Linked DNA regions of Schizosaccharomyces pombe. The gene in region 2 interacts genetically with the main gene of each other region. Each region holds a gene or a part of one and is shown on either strand. Other genes may lie near its edges.

Region 1 (4,340 bases), 380 kb from region 2:
TGCGTTGGAGGAGGTGGATATACTGTACGGAATGTTGCCCGTGTCTGGACTTATGAAACTGGTCTTTTAGCCGGCGAAGAGCTTGATGAAAGTAAGTACCAATACGTAAATTGTTTATTAACCCATCCAAGACCTTCCTTATAATGACTATTTACAATATTACGGTCCCGATTACAAGCTCAATGTTCTTTCAAACAATATGGAAAACCATAACACTCGGCAGTATCTTGATTCGATAACGTATGCTACCTTTTGAGTTTTATTCTTACGAGGCTGACCAAATTTAGCTCTGAAATCATCGAAAATTTGAGAAACTTATCTTTTGCACCTAGCGTTCAAATGCATAGTAAGTATAAGCGGTTATCGAAAAATGTGCTAACAAATACTCTTACATTAGAAACTCCCGGTGACTTTACGTTTGAAAATGCCGAAAAGCAGAACATTGCGAAAGAAGAGATTATGGATGAGCGCGTATAGACCTATATAAAATTTTGTATGTTCATGGTGTTTGAATCCATTATACTCGGTTTTTTTGTGTTATTTGAATCATGAATACTATAAAAGCTATTATGTTTAAATACCCTTATTTATAAGAATTCTCCAGCATAATTAGACTTCAGCATTAAATTGAAAATGCTCATTACATATAATAACAAACACTTTATATTCTATACTCTAGATGTGACTTGTGGTTTTAAAAAAAAAGGAATAGCCAAAAAATTAACGCACAAAGAAAGAAGAAACGGAAATCACAAGGTAGTAGTAATTATATGTCTATCCGAAGTAAAAGGTCAAAACAATTAAGGAAGTACAATATACTTCTTGTATTGTGGCTCAATTACATCAAATAATTTTTTACTTTCAAGGAATGAGCGACTGAATAAACGAGTGGCATACTTGTGACCAGAATCACAAAGAATTGTAACCACCGTCTTGCCAGGACCTAATATTTTAGCCATTTCAACAGCAGCGACCACATTTAAGCAAGAAGAGCCGCCCAAGAAAAGACCTTCTTGGTCTAACAAACGAAAGAACATGTTAATAGATTTTTCGTCAGGGATTTTCATAGCATCGTCAATGAGATCGTAAACAGGTTGGACATTTCCAGTAATACGACCTTGACCAATGCCTTCGGTAAATGAAGAACCCTTGTTGTCAGGATGCTTACCCTTCGTTTTGATATGGCTATACAAAACACTTCCAGGGGGATCAGCCACGAAAGAAGCAACACGACCGTCGGACTTCTCCTTCAAATACTTGGTAACGCCGGCAAAAGTACCACCAGTACCAGTAGAGCAGGTAAAGCCGTCAACGGTACCTTTGGTTTGATCCCAAATTTCAGGACCAGTGGTTTCGTAGTGAGACAGTAAGTTAGCGACGTTATCGAACTGATCAGTCCAAGAAGCATTCGGAGTAGACTCAGCGTGACGACGGGCCTGATGGTTATAATTGAGAGGGTTGGAAAAGGGAGCAACAGGTACGGGATGAACCTCGGCACCCAAAAACTTAAGGGTATCGATTTTAGCTTGAGATTGGGTATTTGGCATGTAAATCACGCATTTATAACCTCTTGCTCTAGCAATGTGAGCAAGACCAATACCAGTGTTACCGGCAGTCCCCTCGACAATTGTGCCACCTCTAGAGAGTTTTCCTTTTTTCTCGGCATCGCGTACCACGTAGTAAGCAGCTCTATCCTTGACGCTTCCTCCGGGATTTTGGAATTCTTAAAAAATTTGCAATTAGTATACATGAAAGCAATTAAAAAGAAATAAAGGTATAGGATTGCCATTCAATTGAGAAACCTCGACGTTTCAAAATTGTTTAGCAAAACGAGACCCATTAAACAACGCCCTATATCAAAAACATACCAGCTTTGGCAAGGATATTGCATCCCGTCTCGTTCGACAGCGTATTCAGTCTAATTAAAGGAGTACGACCAATTGCCCCAATGAATCCGCTAACGATTCCTGGAACCTTCGTTTGAATACCGCTAGTAGCCATGTTGTAGTACTAACTGCGAATTACTGTATATCACAGTAATTTCCTCTAAACACTTGGGCGAAGGCAAAGAGCACTGTAGTAGGATAGGTGATATTTATGAAGAAGATGACGCGATCGTCACGCGGAATTCAAACACCGGCAAATAGTGGAATTCGCAATTCTTTACTTTAATGAAGAATTTAAAACTACAGAAAGTCGTACGATAAGGCGTCCATTGTTAAAATTCTTTATCAATGTCTTTAATGGGATGTACGGATGTGATATTGTTAAATGTGTTTAAGTAATTGTAACGAGGAATGCAAAGATGGGGATGGAGGTGAAAAGGACATAGAATGAATAGCGTATTATAAGGGTTATTATTTGAGAAAGGTTTTTACGTTTATAATATTTATTAATTGGTTAATTTTTATTTATTTTATTTTTACGTTTATTAATTTTTACTCTTTTAATTTTTTTTATTATTTTTTTTTTTTTTACTTTTTTTTATTTTTTTACTTTTTTTTATTTTTTTATTTTTTTTTTTTTTTCTATTGCGTTGTCAAATTTTTTTCCTCAAGCATTTTATTCCTACTAATATTAAAAATTGTACGGCTATGTTCGACTATATCGACACAATGGCTACTCGTTTGAACGCTTGCTGTTTGATTGATTTCTAGTCTATTAACAAGAAAATCACATTTCAGTAACTCCTTGATTGTCGTTGCGTATAAAGAAAGCAAAGTAAGAGAACATTGGAGGTTTCCAATAAATTTTTTACGGAATAACTATTGAAAGCGTTTATTTGTATATTATAAAACTATTATTTTTTAAAAATTGTTTGTTATATGACAAGTGTTGTTGTCATGATCTTTTGATTTCATAATGAAAACTTATAATAGCGAAATTCACAGATGAAAAAAAATTATCCGCTATATCTCGTAATTTATTGCCTTTTGTCAGCAATACTACACTACGCTATGATACACTACGTTGCGTATCACTATATGTCATATGTTCTAATTATATATCGTACCATGTATGATACGATATGGAGATTAATCTTGATGATAATCTATTAAGATCTATATTATCTGAATACTATAAATAGAGCTACCACTGAACTGAGGAACGAGGTTCAGTTATGAGCTATATTAGTGATAGGTAACATTATAACCCAGTTAATACAATACCTATACTCAGTTGCTACTTATACAACCTGTGTATTGTAATATAAATAGACCACAAGGAAAACTCACCGCAGTTCTACGTATCCTTAAATCAGATACCAAACTGCGTAGCTTACACCTTTGCGTTTTTGTGTATTTGTAATTCTAACTTTACGAACTCGAATGAAATCTAGTGCAATATAAGAGTTGCAAAAAATAAATAATAAATTTACACAAGAAGGAATAAATGAATTAGAGAAAGAGATGAAAATGTTTAGCTAGTTTAACTGCTCCAATCCTTTTTTATTTCAGTTACTTCAACACACTATTATTTATTACTTCTTTTTAGCAATATTCACCCGCTTAACATCATCAGCAACACTTTCCGTACCATCCCTTTCCCCGGCAAAACCGAGCTTTTTGGATACAAAAACCGAACTGGGCTGGCAAAAGCAAGCCATGGCATACGTAAGTATTAATGTTTATTTTACCTCCAGTTACAATATATAAATACAGGTAGTCATGTTACAATTAAAACCGATTCGCATCCCAGCTCGCATGCTGAAAACACAAACTTGAATATGTAGCCCTTATAAGACGGGTGTGTTATTTTGTCTAGAGAGAAAAAAGAATCTATATTAACGGGAAAAGTAAAGAAAATAAGGATAAACAAGGGTTATTAGCCATTAATATCAAAATAGACGGAAAGAAAAAATAAAAATAAAAATATAATGAATAAATAATCAAAACGATAAACAAAATGAAACGCAAAACAAAAATTAGCAAAATGATAAACAGGATAACCTTTTACTTTCCACTCCCCACAAAAAAAAAAACAGAGATTTTCTTTCTTTCTTTTGCAAAACAACTGTTTGAGAAAGCACTTCTATTATTCATACCTCTCTCTTCCTTCGATTCTTTTTTTTTTGTTTACTTTCCGGCATCCATTAAAGAGATAACCCACTATGTTGCATGGCGGAATGCGATCCAAAAGCGCATTCGAGTGTTGCATCATAATAAGGTAATAGTGTAACGATCTTTAGCGCATCCTTGTTTTATCTATATTTTCCATTTTAGATCCGAAACTGCATAAAAAGAATCTTTTCGCATTCCGAAATAGACTCCCAATGCAGATTTAATGAACAACCAACAACATCTTAATTCACAGGTATAAGTGGAAAGACTGCCACCAGA
Region 2 (4,449 bases):
TCCCCTTTGCGCTTTAAAACTCTCATACTCAAAATATCATTTCATAGTGCACTAAGGGAATTTAAGCCCGTATATTCCGTAACGTTATGTTAAAGTAATAGGGTAGGGTTTTGTGACCTGTTGTGACTGCTCAATTTTACTATAAATGGATGTACAAGAGTTTACCATTCCCCATCTTTGTGCACGGGTATTACGCTTATCAGTGAGGAACTTTTCCTAGATGGCGTTATTGCTAGTTGAAAACTATTACCCTGACCGCTCCAACTCTCGTTAAGAGTTTTGGGAATATTTGGAAACCAACTTATTGCAATAACTCATATGTTTACAATGTATGTCTTTAGCAATTTGGTGGTTTTTTATTTTTTGTAAAATTAATTTTATATGATTTTGTGTATTTTTTATTAATGAAAGCACCAGTGAATTTCTGCTAATAGTAATAATGTGCTTACCGAAATAAGGAGCTAAAAGCATTCAGTAATCTTTTGCTAGGCAGAGATCAAGATAACGTAAATTTTGTTATATAATATGTTACGCTTTCCTTGTTTTATAGACCTGTTAGCCATTAGTAGTGCACAAGTGTTATAAATAGTCATTGTTTATTACTTGTGAATCTGAATCTAAATTACCAAGAGATCAAACCGAAAAATGATTTATTTCATAGCGTAAACTGAAGTGTGAAATGTAAAGTCGGGTATGATAAATATATCTAGCTTTCTGTTGAAGAGAACACATTAAAAGTATTATAATGGATAAAAGAGAGAAATATTTTGAGCAGATGTGGGAAAACATACAAAAACTCAATCGATATTTGTGAAACATTACTATGTATTTTACAGGTAAATAAAAAGATATACAATGAGGGCTTTTTAGGCAACTTCCAAAGCTTGAGCAAAGTCGGCGATAATATCATCGATGTGCTCAATACCGACGGCCACACGAATAAGATCCTTAGTGACACCGGCAGAAATTTGCTCCTCATCAGTTAATTGTAAATGAGTGGTATAGGCAGGAGCGATAACCAAAGTTTTGGCATCACCAACATTGGCCAACTGACTAGCAAGCTTTAAGGCATTGACTACCTTACGACTTTGATCAGGGCCACCTTTAGCGCCAAAGCTGAGAACGGCGCCGTAACCATTTTTCAAGTACTTCTTGGCAAGTTTGTGAGAGACGTGAGATTCAAGACCAGGGTAAGAAACCCAGTTAACCTTGGGGTGCTTTTCCAAATATTTTGCAAGAGCAAATGCATTTTGAACGTGACGCTCCATACGAAGAGAAAGCGTTTCAAGACCTTGAAGAAGCAAAAAGACACCGAATGGATTGGCATTGCCACCAACATCACGGAGAGTTTGAGTACGGCAAGCAAAAGCATATGCCAAGTTACCAAAAGTTTCAGTAAAGACCATGCCATGGTAACCGGGATGAGGCTCGTTGAATTCAGGGAAACGCTTGCTGTTCTTCTTCCAGTCAAACTTACCACTATCAACAATCACACCGCCAATAGTAGTGCCATGACCACCGATCCACTTAGTGGCAGAGTGGGTAACGATATCGGCACCGTGGTCAATGGGACGAACCAAATAACCACCGCCGCCAAAAGTGTTATCGACCATTAAAGGCACACCAGCGGCATGAGCAACCTCAGCGATACGCTCAAAATCGGGAACGTTGTACATGGGATTGCCGATGGACTCAACGTAAACAGCCTTTGTGTTTTCATCAATCTGAGCTGCAAGATCATTAGGATCATCACCATTGACAAACTTGGTAGTAATTCCCAATCTAGGCAGGGTAACCTTGAAGAGGTTGTAAGTACCACCATAAAGGTAAGAAGTGGAGACAATGTTATCACCGGCCTTAGCCAACGTGGTCAAAGCCATGAAGAGAGCGGAAGTACCGGAACTAGTAGCGATTGCAGCAGCGCCATGCTCCAAGGCGGCAATACGTTTCTCAAAAACGTCGGCGGTGGGATTCATCATACGCGAGTAGATGTAACCTGGTTCCTGTAATCCGAACAAGCGGCCGCCATGGTCGCAATCACGGAAAACATAGGAAGTAGTAGCGTAGATGGGAACGGCACGAGAGCTGGTAGCAGCATCAGGCTCTTGGCCAGCATGTAATTGTAAAGTTTCGAAATGTTCACTCTCGACTGGCATGTTGAATGTGAATGATCTTTATTTTGATGATGAGTTTAAAGTGCTAGTAAAAGATATTTAACAGTTTGCAACAAAGATCAATTTCAAAAAACCAAAAGCAGCAATTTAAAAGAGAAAATGACAAAAAAAAAAGGAAAAAAAAAAAAGACGAGTCGAAACTCAAAAAAATTTCAAAAGCTAATACAAGTGAAATGCAAACTGATACACTAGCGCTTATAAATTATTTTTCCTTGCTTTCAAGCTCTTAGCAGTCGAAAAACTAAGTGCCGATACCGCTCATTTTATAGGAAACACAGCGAAGAAGGATTAGGAAATTTCTGCTCGGAATTTCACCATCGCAATAAAATTTGTCGTGCTACTTCCGGCACAATTGTACTTAATCACATCAGATCTCTGTTGCCAATGATTTGCACGAAGACTTGTTTTTTACCTAAAATAGTCAAAACCGAACAAAATTTTTTATTGCAGATCTTTTCATAACGCCGACATGGAGAAGAGGGAAGATCATCCTTCAGGATCGCCCGTGCTGATTGCGAAAGTTAAGGTGCCGTATTAGCTGCAGTATCGTAATTAACGTAGTTTACTGAAACCACTTTTCGTACAATTGTGCTGAGCTGTAAAGTATGGGGAATTACAGTGTCGTGCACTAGAAGAGAATAGCATACAATACTAGCAATGCACTCTACATGCATTCGGATCCAGTAATGCATAGCGATAACAAACAATAGCATATTGCAAAATATCAAATTTAAAACAACTTTTTAACTTCTTTAAAGCTAAATTGCAAACAGTGCGGTATTCTGCGTTTTTGTGTTAAACAATGCATAAAGTAATAAATATACAAAGTTCTGTTCTTCATCTTCTTTGCTAGTAAGTGGTTAGAATTCGCTACAATGAAGATAACCGTGCAATAAACGAAGAAAAATAAAGAAGTGTAAATAAATAAAGCAAGTAATTAAATTGTTTTTTCACGAATAAAAAAATGGAAGCCTACAGCACCCCGGATTCCCATGTTGTCTCCAACCATAGTACTAACGAGGCCCTCAGACGCTTAACTGCAGTGATCGGACGGGAACTGGTGTTTTCGCCTAGGTATGGCCGTAGACAGTTGTTTGAATTAATTGTAAATTTTATAGCTAAATTAAAAAGAAATTGCAGTGACACCAGTTGTAATATGACACATTTCTGTTTGATTCTTCAATGTACAATGGATTGGCTCAATTTCACTTTTTGAAAAACTTTTTTTATTAAAAAATATAATGTTCATTGAGTATAAATAAAATAGAATTCTCGTATAATGAGTGAAAAAATTATTGTAAGATCTGCCCACACCAGGAATCGAACCTGGGTCGCATCGGCCACAACGATGAGTCTTAACCACTGGACCATGTGAGCTAGTTGATTATCATTTAATTTAAATCTTATATATACTGTATTTTAGTACAATTAGATATCTCATTACCAATCATTATAAAAATCATTAATCATCAAAGGCTATTATAATCACAACTTTACGTTGCAACTACTGTATAAAATTTCTACATTTCTTTAAAAAAAAATCCATGTGCTTTAACAATTTCATGGTTACATTCGCTAAAATCACCTTCACTTACGATTGTATATAGTATATAATCAAATATAATTATTATAAATAAGTTAAGTTTAGCAAAGACAACAATCCATGAAAGGAATAATAAATATCCAAATTGCCGAAATCAAATATTTACGGAGACAACTTGGTACAAAAAACCAGGGTATCATTTTCTTCAGCTTAAGCAGCGGTGTATTAGCGTTCAAGATAGACACGTAAATGAATGTAAATTCCGATACACATGAGGACCTTTTAGATATATAATTGTAAATGATAGCTAAATTTCCTTTCCCATTACCAAGGATCGAATTTCTTTCATAACGTCTTTGACAGTGCAAAGTTGTATAAATATAAGAGGGGATATGGAAAATAAATACTGAGCATACCATCATTTCTTCTCAATTATTGGTATGTCATTGAATAACTTAAAAGTAAACTAGGCACAACACAATTTTAACCACTATTGCGATGTCCCAGTTTTCAAAGTAAGCCATCCCTCCAAGAAGGAGAGCCATTGTGCGACCCATTCGTCAACATGCGATTTAAGAAATATTGGTCGCGAATGTAAGGTGAAGAAGTACTTGAGTAGATACTACTAGTCCGCATTCCTTCATTGAGACCCGATTTGTACTTCATAAGTGGAACCATAGTTGACGATTTCGGTGACTTGTTTGCGTACAATGGAGAAGCTTCGCTAGGAGA

Evidence for each region.
Region 1: of met17 (region 2) and cys11, changing one enhances a phenotype caused by changing the other (phenotypic enhancement), as found in Schizosaccharomyces pombe (one study listed by BioGRID).

The regions. Positions count from the first base shown.
Region 1 is NC_003423.3:845,646-849,985, reverse strand, and holds cys11 (cysteine synthase), read right to left. Parts: upstream 2,067-4,340; 5' UTR 2,002-2,066; coding exon 1,869-2,001; intron 1,724-1,868; coding exon 801-1,723; 3' UTR 501-800; downstream 1-500. Other genes in the region: class 1 histone deacetylase Clr6, read left to right, coding at 1-91, 132-240, 288-346, 398-477.
Region 2 is NC_003423.3:463,340-467,788, reverse strand, and holds met17 (homocysteine synthase Met17), read right to left. Parts: upstream 2,410-4,449; 5' UTR 2,157-2,409; coding exon 867-2,156; 3' UTR 542-866; downstream 1-541. Other genes in the region: SPOM_SPBC428.10 (uncharacterized protein), read right to left, coding at 4,228-4,449. UniProt on the Schizosaccharomyces pombe protein: Catalyzes the conversion of O-acetyl-L-homoserine (OAH) into homocysteine in the methionine biosynthesis pathway. Can also use O-succinyl-L-homoserine and L-homoserine as substrates.